4 separate regions of the Mus musculus genome follow, and regions 2, 3 and 4 are each reported to be linked to region 1. Evidence: microRNA targets listed by miRTarBase, many of them from high-throughput screens and not tested one by one. Region 1 holds a microRNA gene; each other region holds the end of a gene's coding sequence.
Evidence for each region. The annotated mature microRNA mmu-miR-139-5p reads UCUACAGUGCACGUGUCUCCAG and lies in region 1 at 809-830, opposite strand. An mRNA with a match to its seed (bases 2 to 7 or 8) in the 3' UTR can be bound and repressed. Matches are read on the target gene's strand: a 7mer-m8 pairs with bases 2 to 8, a 7mer-A1 pairs with bases 2 to 7 and ends in A, and an 8mer does both.

Region 1 (3,000 bases):
GTTTCTAACAGACCTGTCACCTGAAAATATTACAAGAGCTGCTTGTGTGTGCTAACACTTGCATCCACGACTTCCCAGTAGCAAGGCTGAGCTGGGCCAGAAGCAAAAGGAAAGGAAAGAGACTAGGTGATGTTGGGCAACCCAGATGCCAAGTGAGCCACCTCATAAGCCCTGAGTGACTCTGGCTATGGGGAAGGGAAGGTACCTTTCTCAGGTACTGATTGTGGTTGCAGATGTCCCTCAGTGGTTTCCAAAGTACGGCATGGCCCAGAGTCACCTGGAGGACTGTTGAAATACACAGTGCTGTCCCCACCCCAGAATTTCTGCATCAGCTGGTCTGGGAAGAGGTTGATGAATTTGCACTACCAACTCCCCAATTTCTAGCTGCTGCTGGCCTGAGACGTGCCTTTCACTCACCCCACTTTAGAGGCACAGGGGTGTAAAGACCGGGATGTAGGGAAGGTAGATCCTTTCTCCAGTGAGGGTAGCCATGGGGACAGCTGGATGCTACCCCCACATGAAGAGACTCCACAAGAAAGATCCCCAAGGAGAGGAGGCATAAGGGTGAGAAAGGAGAAAAGGAGCTGTGGCCATCGTTGAGTTGGTGACACAGGGGCACGTGGAAGGAGCCACCTGCAGCTCAAGAGCCAAGTACTACAGGAAGGGGCCCCCTTGTCCTCCTTTTCTCTCTCCCCCACCCCCTTTCTTTTGCCCACCATGCCCTCTTCCCCCTTAGCCCACCACCCTTCGAAGACTCTGGCTTCAGTTGTTACTCCAACAGGGCCGCGTCTCCAGCCTCCGAGCCACACTGGAGACACGTGCACTGTAGAATACACCTGCGCCTGTCCTGGCGCCTCCCAGGGGAACCTCCACTCCCTGAGGGGGACCCTTGGGACAACTGTTGGCTTCTCTCATCCCTTACCATAGCTGGTCCCCCCCTGGACCTCCCACTCCTCCCCAACCAGGCTGAACTTCTACCCCAGGCACTCCCACTGTACTGACCCCTTTAAAGCCATCCAGGGCCAAGTGTGGTGATAGAGAGTGGGAAGGAGGAGAAGCAGCCAGGTGGGAAGGCAGGGGTTGTTAGTCCTCTCAGACTGACAGTCTACTCTCCAGTCTAGAAGGGAAAGATTAGGGAAATGGAAAGAGGAGGGAGACAAGAGCCCAGTATCGGGAGGAGGTGATGGCCCTGGCCTGGAAGCTTTAAGATGAGTTGAGTTGGGTCAGACTTTGACTTCTCCTCACCCTACCCATCTTCAGTTGCCTCCTCCACACAGTAGGACCACTCTGTCCCCATAGCCCTCAGGTTTCTAACCAGTAAGGCCCAGCTCCCATACATGTCACCATAGTCTCCTCACAATTCCCGTCATCTTGGTTTCCTGTGGTCTCTAACCTTCCTGCCTCTGTGACCATGAGAGTTGAATTGAATACAGTGGGACAGTCACTGGGGACTGTGGTGAGTATCTGTGACTCAGAGCTGTGTCTGGGGAGATGTTTTGGCATCAAGGAAGCTTGGGTACACTGTTCCCCAGGGTGTACAAGAAAGAAGAGACTCTGGGAATCAATACCCCGAGAAAGGGTCTCGGTGAACTGGCTGGCCTCCTGCTCCGGTTTCTATGAGCCTGAATGTCTACGACCCCACCTCTCATGTGGCCTTGGAGATAGGACCAGAGCTTGACCCAGCAAGCCTAGAAGCCTCTGCAAGTCAGACATAATGGTCCACTCAGGAGAAAGGAATGTCGAGTGACTAGCTGGACCAGTGTCAGGAAGGGAAGTATGCCAAAGGAAAAGATATGGTCAGACAAGAGTGGGTGGGTGAGAGAGCCAGTGATGGTCTGCTCACTCGGACCCTCACAACTTGATGGATGCTCCTTCCCGGTGCTGTGTGTCATCACCTTGCCACACTGCCCTCTCTGGCTCCCCCATCAGGCCAGGAGCTTTTGGGGGAAAGGACAGCATCCTGATTGTCCCATAGCTCTTCTGCTCTTAGCATCATCTAGTCTCCAATGAGAGCCCAGAAATGGTGGAGGCCAGCGACCTCCTGAGCAGAGAAGTGGAGTTCCTGGAGGTCCCAGGTGGGGAGACAATGGCGGTCTCTGTATCCCAAGTCTGGCGTGATGAGAGACGTAGACAAACAGCCCACGGAATGAGAGGATGCTTTTCCCTGAGAACTTTTGACAGCATTTTCAAGGTATCTGGCAAGCCAGGAGACCTTCTGCTCTTCAGGATCATCTCCAAGTGGGAAAAGCCTAGGGTCCCAGGAAGAGCAGGTGAGCAGCACCTCTTATTCAAGGACGTCATCTACATGGGGAACACCTGTCTCCACCCCAGTCCTCCTGGGAATTCCTATGAGACCAACGTCTTTAGACCTCAGGTGTCATGACATTGGATGCCCAGTTTGGTATGGGGTGTATGGAAGGTCAGAGGAGACAAAAAAAAAAAAAAATAGCCAGGTTCTCCCCTAAAGGCATGGGGCGAGGCCCTCTCTCCTGTGGCTTTGGACTTCTCAAGTCCTGCTTTGGCCAAGGGATAGACTTGTCATCTCTCCAATGTTGGAATGGGACTGGGTGTCTCTCTCTAGGCCTGGGTGGAGCCTCTTGTCTCCCGCTCTTCCATTGTCCCCTTCCCTCCTGTGCCCACAATAGATAATAAATGCTAAATGGCACTGACTTGACACAGGGCGATGTATGGCTTACAGAAGGGCAGGAAGGGAGGGCTGACCAGGGGTGCTGGGCAGAGAACTAAGTGTCCCATGGTACCTGCCTGGTGGTTGGTCCTGAGTGTCCCCAGCCCTCCCAGTACCTCCCCAGGGACCTCTGTGTCTGCTTGTCTTGGTGTGTCTCTTTGGTGTATGTCGATTCCACAGCCTCATGTTGCTTCCTCCTCTGACTGTATTTGGCTCCATCCTCACAACTTGGCTCGTCCCAACTGTTCCCCAAATCCCAGGAGAATGGGAGTATGAGACATACAGGGACAGAGACCAATTCAGAAACAAGGAAA
Region 2 (3,156 bases), not on the chromosome of region 1:
AGTCCAATCTGGAGCACACCTCCTGCCTCCTTCAGGTCTGTGGTCTGGAGCAATGGCAGTACCTGTGGAATACATTCACACACACACCCCTCCAAGAATAATCTCTGAGGTTAATTATGAACGTAGAGTTAAAGAGGCATTGCCAGGAGTAATGAGAGGAAAACGCACATCACCACAGGCAGATTTTTCTCAACTCAATTTCTAAATTGAATCTTTTTTTTTTTTTACAGGCTGCAAAATACAAGCTGGCAGCTCTGCCTGTGGCAGGTGCACTCATCGGAGGAGTGGTAGGGGGTCCCATCGGCCTCCTCGCAGGCTTCAAAGTGGCAGGAATTGCAGCTGCACTTGGTGGTGGGGTGTTAGGCTTCACAGGTGGAAAATTGATACAAAGAAGGAAACAGAAAATGATGGAGAAGCTCACTTCCAGCTGTCCAGATCTCCCTAGCCAAAGTGACAAAAAACGCAGTTAAAGCCCAAGCTTCCAGCTGCTGCTGTGCACCGAGCTAAGGAGCAGTTGCTGTTGCTGGAAGTGTTAGGAAGTGGCTCTCCCTGTCCATGCAGTGTTGAACCACCATGAGTGGATGTGTTTGTTAGCTGGGTGTTAATGGAGATTTTAGAGGTGGAGGAGCCTGGCCAGAGGGTGTCTGTCAGGTCAAGTTTAAAGACTGCCAAAGAGCAAAGGTTAGGCCTGGAAATGTGAAAACTGGATCCATAACTAAGGATCTAAGAAGTGTAGACATGTAGTGGACACCTGAGGTCAGTGTATTTGTCAATTATTTCTTCCTATAGGGAGGAACAGAATTCGAGTTCAGGAGTCTCTGTCAGGTAGGGATGTTGCCGCTCAACAGGGGGCACGGGTGAACTACTTGTGGACTTGAGGGCTGTTGTACTTAGACCCATCTGTATTTTCTGGGGAAGGAAATTAACACTATAAAATAGAAAGAGAAGCCCATTTTCTCTTTACAGTTTCTTCATTGTGACATGGGTGTTTTTTCTGAAGTCTTTCCTGCCTCTCCAGATAAGGAGCACAAAACCTCAATGCTAGACCTACTAAACCAGCCACCAAGCCCATTTCCAGCTGGTGATTCAGATAACTGTCTATTCTACTCTTCTGATTCCTACCCATGTTATAAGGATTTTCCTCATAATCTGCCTTTTTATATAGTTTTCCACTTCTAGCTACCCCTACCTGTAATCTCTACAATCTCTTTAGTTGAAAAAAGAAAATTTAAATATTTCCAACGTTATTTAGGTTAAGGGGAGTGAGTACAAGATCATATCACAGGGCACTTTAGAAGGGGCTGGCATACCTGCTGCCTCCAGGGATTGCCGCCCCTCAGTCTTCTTGGGCGTCCAAGAAGGAGCTTTCTACCTCACATCTGTCACTGCTGCCCTTTCCCAGGCCGTCTCCCCTCCTGCCGCTGTCCTCGCAGTGGTCACGCTTAACCTCTCTCACATTCTAGATGGGAAAACTCATGATTCAGACCCAAGGAAAGATCTGTGGTGCTAACCCAACAGTTGGCATGCACAGCAGGCATGTCCACTTCAACTCCGTGTCTCTCTCAAAACAGAAAGGTTTGAGATTCAGAAGAAAGGAATAGGAAGAAGCCACTGGTCCCGCAACTCTCATCTCTTCCTGAGAAGAGTGCACCAGCAGCCAGAGCACAGGGTCAGGGGCCGAAGGGTTACCTCTTAGCTTCTTTTAAGTGCTGAGTTGATGTTTGGCCTCTGTGGGTTGCTACCTTTCCCTCTGTGTTATAACTTCCTTCCTTCCCTTCAATGCTTTGTGAGTCTTACCAGTGCATCCCTATGAAACAAAGAACTACACCGTATTAAAAGATCGGAAAGTATTGAGTATTTATTTCTTATCCGCTGTCTTAAGACTTTAATAACAAACAAAATTTGAATAATTTTCGGATCCTGAAATATTGCCAAACACACTGGGCATTAAGTAATTACTTTTATTGTCATCCTTTGTTCTCTGGTTCTTGCTGCTCCTTTAAGATAGCATGTCAAACCTGAGCAGGGGGCATTCAGAATGCATCCAGATTTTACTTCAAATAAGATTCCTTTTTGTTTTGTTTTATTTTTCAAGATGTTTTCTCTGTATAGTCCTGACCTAGCTGTCCTGGAACTCTCTCTGTAGACCAGGCTGGCCTTGAACTCAGAGATCCATCTGTCTCTGCCTCCGGAGTGCTGGGATTAAAGGTGTGTTGCCATACCCAGCTAAAACAAGATTCTTGAACTTTGGCCCCGGGGAAATTCCGATACAGCCAGTCCATCCTGATTAGCTAGTATTGTGAGGATAAGAAGTGTTGTTTAATTCTTTAGTCTCCCATGGTCTACTTCATCTTCCTCATTACTTAATACTCAATTCCATGAATCCCCAAAGTGCCATCAGTAAGTGCCATAACAGCCTCAGCACATGGAAGCCAAAGAAACAGGGCTGAGGCTTGGATATGAAGCTCGCACCCTTGGGACCGCGCATCTTCGCTGAGCCAGTGTGGGAATGTGGGAACCATCGGCATGTTAATGAACCATCAGTATTGGGCTTTTGACTCTAGCCACCGTAATGGTTAAGGAAGTTACAGTCCTCTTTAAAATTTCATTATACTTTAAAGTTATTGAGAAATTGTTTTTCATTTCTCCACAATAGAATCCAATAGCCAACTTTTTGTGGAAATTTCTTAGAAGTGTTTAATCAACTATAAATGATATAAAAGTACTTAAACGTATAAATTAGTCAATATGACACAGAAATGATCTTAAAATTGAATTTAATATGCCCCATAGTGTCTAGTTAAATTTATCATCTCTATGATTTATGTCTTATTTTTATTTCAACTAGTTAAAAAGAATCATTTTAATGTCTTAAAATTTGTAGAGACTTCATATTAGTATAGGCAGTCCCCCTAAAGACTTTTTGATGTTATAATCTGATAATTCCTCTGAAATTTTGATGTAGCCCACAGTAAAAAACGTATTAGGATTGAACGTGTATCCATGAAAAATGTTTACCATTGTGTGCAGTACATTCTGATGTTCTGTTTCTTCAACATGCTAACTTCAACCCACAAAACCAGTCTCAGTCTACAAATGGATTACCACCCTCAGTTTTCAGAAAACACCCTTCCCTAAGGAAGAACTGGTGTTTCC
Region 3 (3,156 bases), not on the chromosome of region 1:
CTTTGAAGAACAGGAGTCTTGTCCATGCGTTCAATGGCCAGCACAGGGTGGTCTGGGGAGGGTTTGTGACTCTTGCATCTGAGTCTACCTCAGAAGTACTTCCCCTCACTCCCAGCCAGAGGAATGGGGCACCCAGATGTACCCTGTATACCCTGGTCATGATGGCGACTAGGTATTCGGGGTTTAAGGGATCTCGGGATTCAGTTCTGTAACTAACTATCCAACCTTGACCTGCGCAGGCACCGCATGCCCCGGGAGCAGTGGTGGCTGAATCTGCGGCTGATGCTGAAGATGCTGGCACACTACCGCATCAGCATGGCAGACTATGTGTCTGGGGAGCTGGAGCACGTCACACGCCGCACCTTGAGCATAGACAAGGGTTTCTGAGCTTACTGTCACTACTGTTCCTGCGTTCCCGGACTCTCACCCTCCCAGTGCTAGCCACAGATCCCAGCACCGAGGGGAACTCAAGGGGAACTCGGAGCCCGTGGCTGGCTGAGGGATGTGGGGGTCTACTGTGCTGCTCTGGGGCTCTTCCCTTAGCCCTCCCCCCACCCCCAGGACAGAGAGCCTGTGGGGCCCCTACCTTCCAGTCAGACCCACATTGCCTCTCCCTCACTGGCCAGCTGGCTGCCTCACCACACGGCTGAAAAGAGCCTCACTTTTTTAGAAATAAAGTCACCTGTCTAGAGCATGGTCACTGGGACAACATGACCAGAGGAGTCCAGGGAGAGGGTTGTCAGGACTCAGGTGCAAACCTTACCCAAGGCTATAGTTTGTTTAATTTATATAAGTACACTGTAGCTGTCTTCAGACACACCATTAGAGGTCATCAGATCCCATTGCAGACCGTTGTGAGCCACCATGTGGTTGCTGGGATTTGAACTCAGGACCTCTGGAAGGGCAGTTGGTGATCTTAACCGCTGAGCCATCTCTCCAGTCCTGCCCACAGCTATTCTACAAGACTGGAATTTAGGGAACCCTCCCGGGAAGAGACTAGGGAGACCTGAGCCCTTAGAGAGCTACTGAGGCTCGTGTGAGCCCCATACCTGCCCTGGAATGGCTGGGGTATCGGCCTGTGGGCAATGTGCCCCGGTCTGGAGAGGAGACTGTCATTGTCAGTATAGTGTTCTTGGCTGATTGCTGCCCTTCAGGAGGTTCTTGAGGTCGGGACGTTGGCTCCTCAGAGAAGTTTATGAAGGGCTGAGCCCTGGCCAGCCCCACCTCAGATCCCTCTCTAAGCCCCTTATCAGGGTTTCTTACGTGAGCTGCTGCTGGGTCCATCCTCTACAGTGCCTGGATTTTTACAATATTTACAATAGGTGGAGGCTGTTTCTGGTTTCTCCGTGTATGGAGGTCAAGGGTTGTGACTTTGGCTCTGTGGACCTGCAGGCCGCATTGGGGCGGTGGTTTCCTTGGGTAGACGTCTCCCCCCATGGGTCACTGTAAGGCTTCTGTGGGGGTATTGCAGGCCATGTACCCAGCTGCTTCATCTGGCTGGAGCCCCCAAAGCTGCTGGGAGCAGAGTCCTGGAGTGTAAGTGTCATATCACAGCACCCTGGAGGGTTTGGTCTTGAGCACATGGCAACAAGGCCTGTATATTAGGGCTCTAGAGAAACAGAACCAATAGAATGTATATATACTGTAAAAGTGGGTTCGCCAGACTGGCTTACACAAATGGGCTTGGTAGCCTAATTGTCTTAGGGTTTTATTGCTGTGAATAGACGCCATGGCCACAGCAGCTCTTATAAAGGAGAACATTTCATTGGGGCTGACTTACAGTTTCAGAGGTTTAGCCCATTACCATCATGGTGGGAAGCATGGCGGCATGCAGGCAGATGTGGTGCTGGAGAGGTAGCTGACGGTTCTCCATCTGGATCTGCAGGCGCAGGAAAAGACAGTGAGCCACTAGGCCTGGCTCCTGAAACCTCAAAGCCCACCCCACAGTAGCAAGCTTCCTCCAACAAGGCCACACTTCCCAATAGTGTCACTCCCTATGGGCCTGTGAGGGCCATCTTTATCCAGACTTCACCAATAACAGCCATCTGCTGGCTGGGGAGGCTGAGAGCCCTGGAGCTGCTAAATTCACAGCAGCTCCATTCTAGTGCTGAGGGCCTGGAGGATCTTCACGCCACACTGGAAAGTCAGAGTTTGTGTCTGATGTCAGCAGAGGGTGGTAACAGCAGCAAGAAGGGCTGGCAGGCAGCACTGCCTTTTACTTGGAGCACCCAATATCTGGGCTGCCTGCTAGCGGAGGCAGTCCCTGGAGAGGGCCTTCCCCCTTTACTAAGCCTTCCTGGAATAGCCTCGTAGGCTACCGTAAGGCCTCTTAATAATTCTCCAGGTTAATTGACAGGCTCAGGTCTCTCAGGACTGCTGGGAGACACCTGTGCTTGTTCCAGAGTCACCATCAATGTCCATACCTGTTAGTGTGTTCTCCCTCCACCCCCAAAGCAGCGCAGGGCCTGGGGACATGGCAGGCTATAGTTGGACATCTGAAGATTAGAGCAGCACCTACCCAGCCGCTTGCTCAGTCTGGGCGTCTGCTACACAGGGGGTTCTGCAATGGGGAGGCATGAAGGGTGGGCCTGTGTGGCTCATTTTGTTCATGGCCAGGTGGAGTCGGGTCATTGTCATCAGCGTGGACTCAACTCTCAGTATGGAACCCCTGCTAGATTCAGGGTCTACCTGCTTGGCTGCAAGGTGGCTTTGGGCCCTGGTGATAGCAATGGCTTCAGGTACAGAGTAGCCATCTCTTTCCTCTCTTCTCTTGCACCACATCCACCCTTCCAGGGGGTTACACCTCCAGCCTTAGCTCTCCCCGCTGTGAGTTGGATGGGAGGGCACCAAACCCTTGAAAGGCCAATTCCTGTTCTGCTCAAGGGGCTGGATCTGGAAGATTCCAGATGTGGCTGAATGTCCCACGCTCGGCTCCAGGTAGGGATATGAGCTGTGCTTTAGCAGAGGCTGGGAGTGGGGATCAGGGATTGGGGGCTCGGTGCAGCTGGTAGTCTGCCCATCCCTGGGGTATATGTGAGTGTGCCACAGGAGGATGGAAAGCTAGGACGTTACAGGCATGGGGTGTGGTCCTGAGGGAACCTGCTGGGCATTTCCAGAATCTTACATCCTGGAACGAGGAAGTGGGCCTGGGACACA
Region 4 (3,156 bases), not on the chromosome of region 1:
ATCTCTCTAAACATCAGAGGATTCACATTGGAGACAGACTCTATAAATGTAAAGAGTGTGGCAAAGCCTACTACTTCTCCTCACAGCTGAACCGACATCAGAGGATCCATACCGGGGAGAAACCCTATGTGTGCCAGGAGTGTGGCAAGGCCTTCAATTGTTCTTCATACCTTACTAAGCACCAGCGCATCCATATTGTAGAAAAACCGTATGTGTGTAAAGAGTGCAGCAAAGCCTTTAGCTGCTCCTCATACCTGACTAAACACCAGAGGATCCATGCTGGAGACAGGCTATACAAATGCACAGAGTGTGGCAAAGCCTACTGCTTCTCCTCACAGCTGAACCGACATCAGAGGATCCACACCAGAGAGAGACCCTATAGATGTAAGGAATGTGGCAAGGCCTTTATTACTTCCTCCTGCCTTAAACGACACCAGGAAACTCACACTCTCCAGACACCAAACAGTGTATAGAATTTGTGTATATGTGTATGTGTATAATAAGCAAAGCCTTACTAGGAAGACAGTTGTTACCGAGTGTTTCATAAAAGGGAAAAAACCCTGTTCTTGCACTTAGTGTCTTTAACAACTGCTGAACCTTCCATTTGCACCAAAAAGGCCCATCTATGAGGGGAGACGATACAGGTGTAAGGAGTCTGGCAAGACCTTTAAGTCGTGTGTGGTACTGTTTCAGAGTGTGTACTGAACATCCCATAGTTGAAAACTGTTACAGATGTGAGAACATGGCCTGGCCTTTGATCACAGCTTTTCTTTTTTCTTTTTTTTTTTTAAGATTTATTTATTTATTTATTCTGTGTATGTGAGTACACTGTAGCTGTACAGATGGTTGTGAGCCTTCATGTGGTTGTTGGGAATTGAATTTAGGACTTCTGCTCGCTCTGGTTGGCCCTGCTCCCTCGGTCTCTGCTCGCTCTGGCCCAAAGGTTTATTTATTATTATACATAAGTACACTGTAGCTGTCTTCAGACACACCACAAGAGGGCATCAGATCTCATTACAGGTGATTGTGAGCCACCATGTGGTTGCTGGGATTTGAACACAGGACCTTCGGAAGAACAGTCAGTGCTCTTATCCCCTGAGCCATCTCAACAGCCCGATCACTGCTCTTCTTTATTGGACAGTAGCAAATTCATATTGGGAAGAGTATTGTCCTATGTCTAACCCTCAGAACAGTCCAACACTATACTACAAATTCCCTCATAAAATGAAAAGATTGACATTTCACTAATACCTCAACAAATCTTTTTATTACAGACAGGATCTCTGTAATAGCCCTAGAACTCACTCTGTAGACCAGGCTAGCCTCAGACTCACAGAGATCTGCCTGCCTCTGTGTCCAGAGCACTGGGACTAAAGACATGCACCCCCAGGCCCAGCCCATACCTCAAAACTTGGTGTATACAAAAAATTATCGTTGGGCAGAAATCTTACAAATATGTAGAATGTGGCAAAATTTTGAACTGCTGCTTATCATTAATAAATGGGTGGAAAGACTATATCACAGGTGTCAGAGTGATTTGAACTCATCTTTGAAAGGATGGAATTTGTTTTACATCCAAATTTACTAAGTAACCTCACTTTAAAAACTATACAAAGCTCAGCCCTCAGGCCATCTCAGCAGAAAAATAATCCTGCTTTCTGAGAAGTTTTAAACCGTTCTTTTTCTAGAGAGCATAGAATTGATTTTGAAGAACTGTGTATTATGTATAGACTTTATTTTAGTACATACATGGAGTGAATGGTTCTTCACTTGTTATCTCTGGTATGTGTTGTTTGACATGTTATTTTGTCACAGAGATCAAACCGCCTTACCGTAGCATGTACATACAGATCTTAGTAATATATTGTTGAGAAATACTGAGTGATTGGTAGTTCTTGTTCCCAATGTCTTTATCCCTCAAACAGATGTATAGATTTGGAGATTTTTTTTGTGTATGTGATATTTTAATCCACCCTTTTTGCACTTAACCCAGAAATTACAAAGGATGTGAAAGTATAATAAAGTGTTCTAGCTTTCTGAAGCTCAAGTCATTTATACATTTGGTTTTTTGTCACATGGTTTTTATGCACACATCACCCCTTTGGATATATACAATGAACACCGAATTGTTGGTATTCGTTTGTGTTGACTGTGACGTAAAATCCCATGGCAAACCTTAGGAGTGAAAGTACAAAAGTTCTCTCTGCTCGTGGGTAATGATTAAAAATTAAAGGAAAGTTAAAAACCAAAAATCACTTTAAGGGAGCTGATATTTATGGCGAGGTAGAAAGCTTTTGTTTGGGGGAATAAAGTCTATTTTGTCTAAATGGAACACATTGAAACAGCCTCATGGTTCTTTGTTTAGCATAGTGACTTCCTGGTTCTCTGTCTGTTAACCAGGAAGGGCATATGTAAGAGTTAAAGTTTATGGCTGTGTTTATGTGGCTATTTGTTGATCATGGTTGTCCTCTGAGCCAATCAACTGCAAACTCCAGTAGTTGAGCTTGCAAAGCGTCAGCCCAACTGGGTTTGTTGGCTGACCATCCATAGGAGGAGTGTGGGGAAGGTCATGGGACCCTCATCTGAGTTTACAGTACTCCATTCTGCTTCTTATATGGAGTTTTGCCCTAATTGCATACAGCCTAGAGGAGGGGATACGTCATAGGTCAGAACGATGACTGGGAGGAGGGACTTCATCTGTGTTGCTGTGGGAAAGCCATTATACTTTCTGCCTAAAAACTTTCTGGTGCAACCTTTTGTAGCGGGAAACACCCACACTATAAGTAACCCCTTACCTATGTTCCATAAGGAAGACCACTACTGTTTCCTCTAGAGTGAACTTGGGTGGACTCATACCTTTGATAGTCGTTGGGACTTTATGAGAAGGGATATCCAACCACCAGAAGGAATGTTAGTAGCTGGCAGAATATAAAAAGACCAGGGATGCTTTTGGGAAGAACAGTGGTGGTGTGCCTGATAGGGGCAACAAGACAACCAGAGTGAAGTTGTGTGTGTGTGTGTGTGTGTGTGTGTGTGTGTGTGTGTGTGTGTGTGTGTGAGAAATTGACATAGTGGCTTGCCTCTACAGGTCGTGGGGTATAGTGGCGGGACATGAAGAGTGCAGAGGGTAGTGAGACATGTAACTAAGGGAGACTC

Region 2: miRTarBase lists Stx17 as a target of mmu-miR-139-5p. Seed matches in the 3' UTR shown: 7mer-A1 at 2,141-2,147.
Region 3: the mRNA of Pfkl is a reported target of mmu-miR-139-5p. Seed matches in the 3' UTR shown: 7mer-m8 at 798-804.
Region 4: miRTarBase lists Zfp11 as a target of mmu-miR-139-5p. Seed matches in the 3' UTR shown: 7mer-m8 at 828-834, 7mer-m8 at 970-976 and 7mer-A1 at 1,307-1,313.

What each region holds. Positions count from the first base shown.
Region 1 is chr7:101,473,212-101,476,211 of GRCm38, reverse strand. It overlaps Mir139 (microRNA 139), which reads right to left and starts at 836; the gene lies at 769-836. All of the region lies in intron 1 of Pde2a (phosphodiesterase 2A, cGMP-stimulated), which reads right to left.
Region 2 is chr4:48,181,269-48,184,424 of GRCm38, forward strand. Stx17 (syntaxin 17) reads left to right here. Exons shown (of 8, transcript NM_026343.2): 8 at 231-3,156. The coding sequence ends at 470. Among named protein-coding and RNA genes, the nearest start is that of Mir1958, 30 kb to the right of the region's middle.
Region 3 is chr10:77,985,441-77,988,596 of GRCm38, reverse strand. It overlaps Pfkl (phosphofructokinase, liver, B-type), which reads left to right. Exons shown (of 22, transcript NM_008826.5): 22 at 240-1,650. The coding sequence ends at 387. Among named protein-coding and RNA genes, the nearest start is that of Gm51807, 2.6 kb to the right of the region's middle.
Region 4 is chr5:129,653,769-129,656,924 of GRCm38, reverse strand. It overlaps Zfp11 (zinc finger protein 11), which reads left to right. Exons shown (of 3, transcript NM_172462.4): 3 at 1-2,330. The coding sequence ends at 473. Among named protein-coding and RNA genes, the nearest start is that of Zfp11, 15 kb to the left of the region's middle.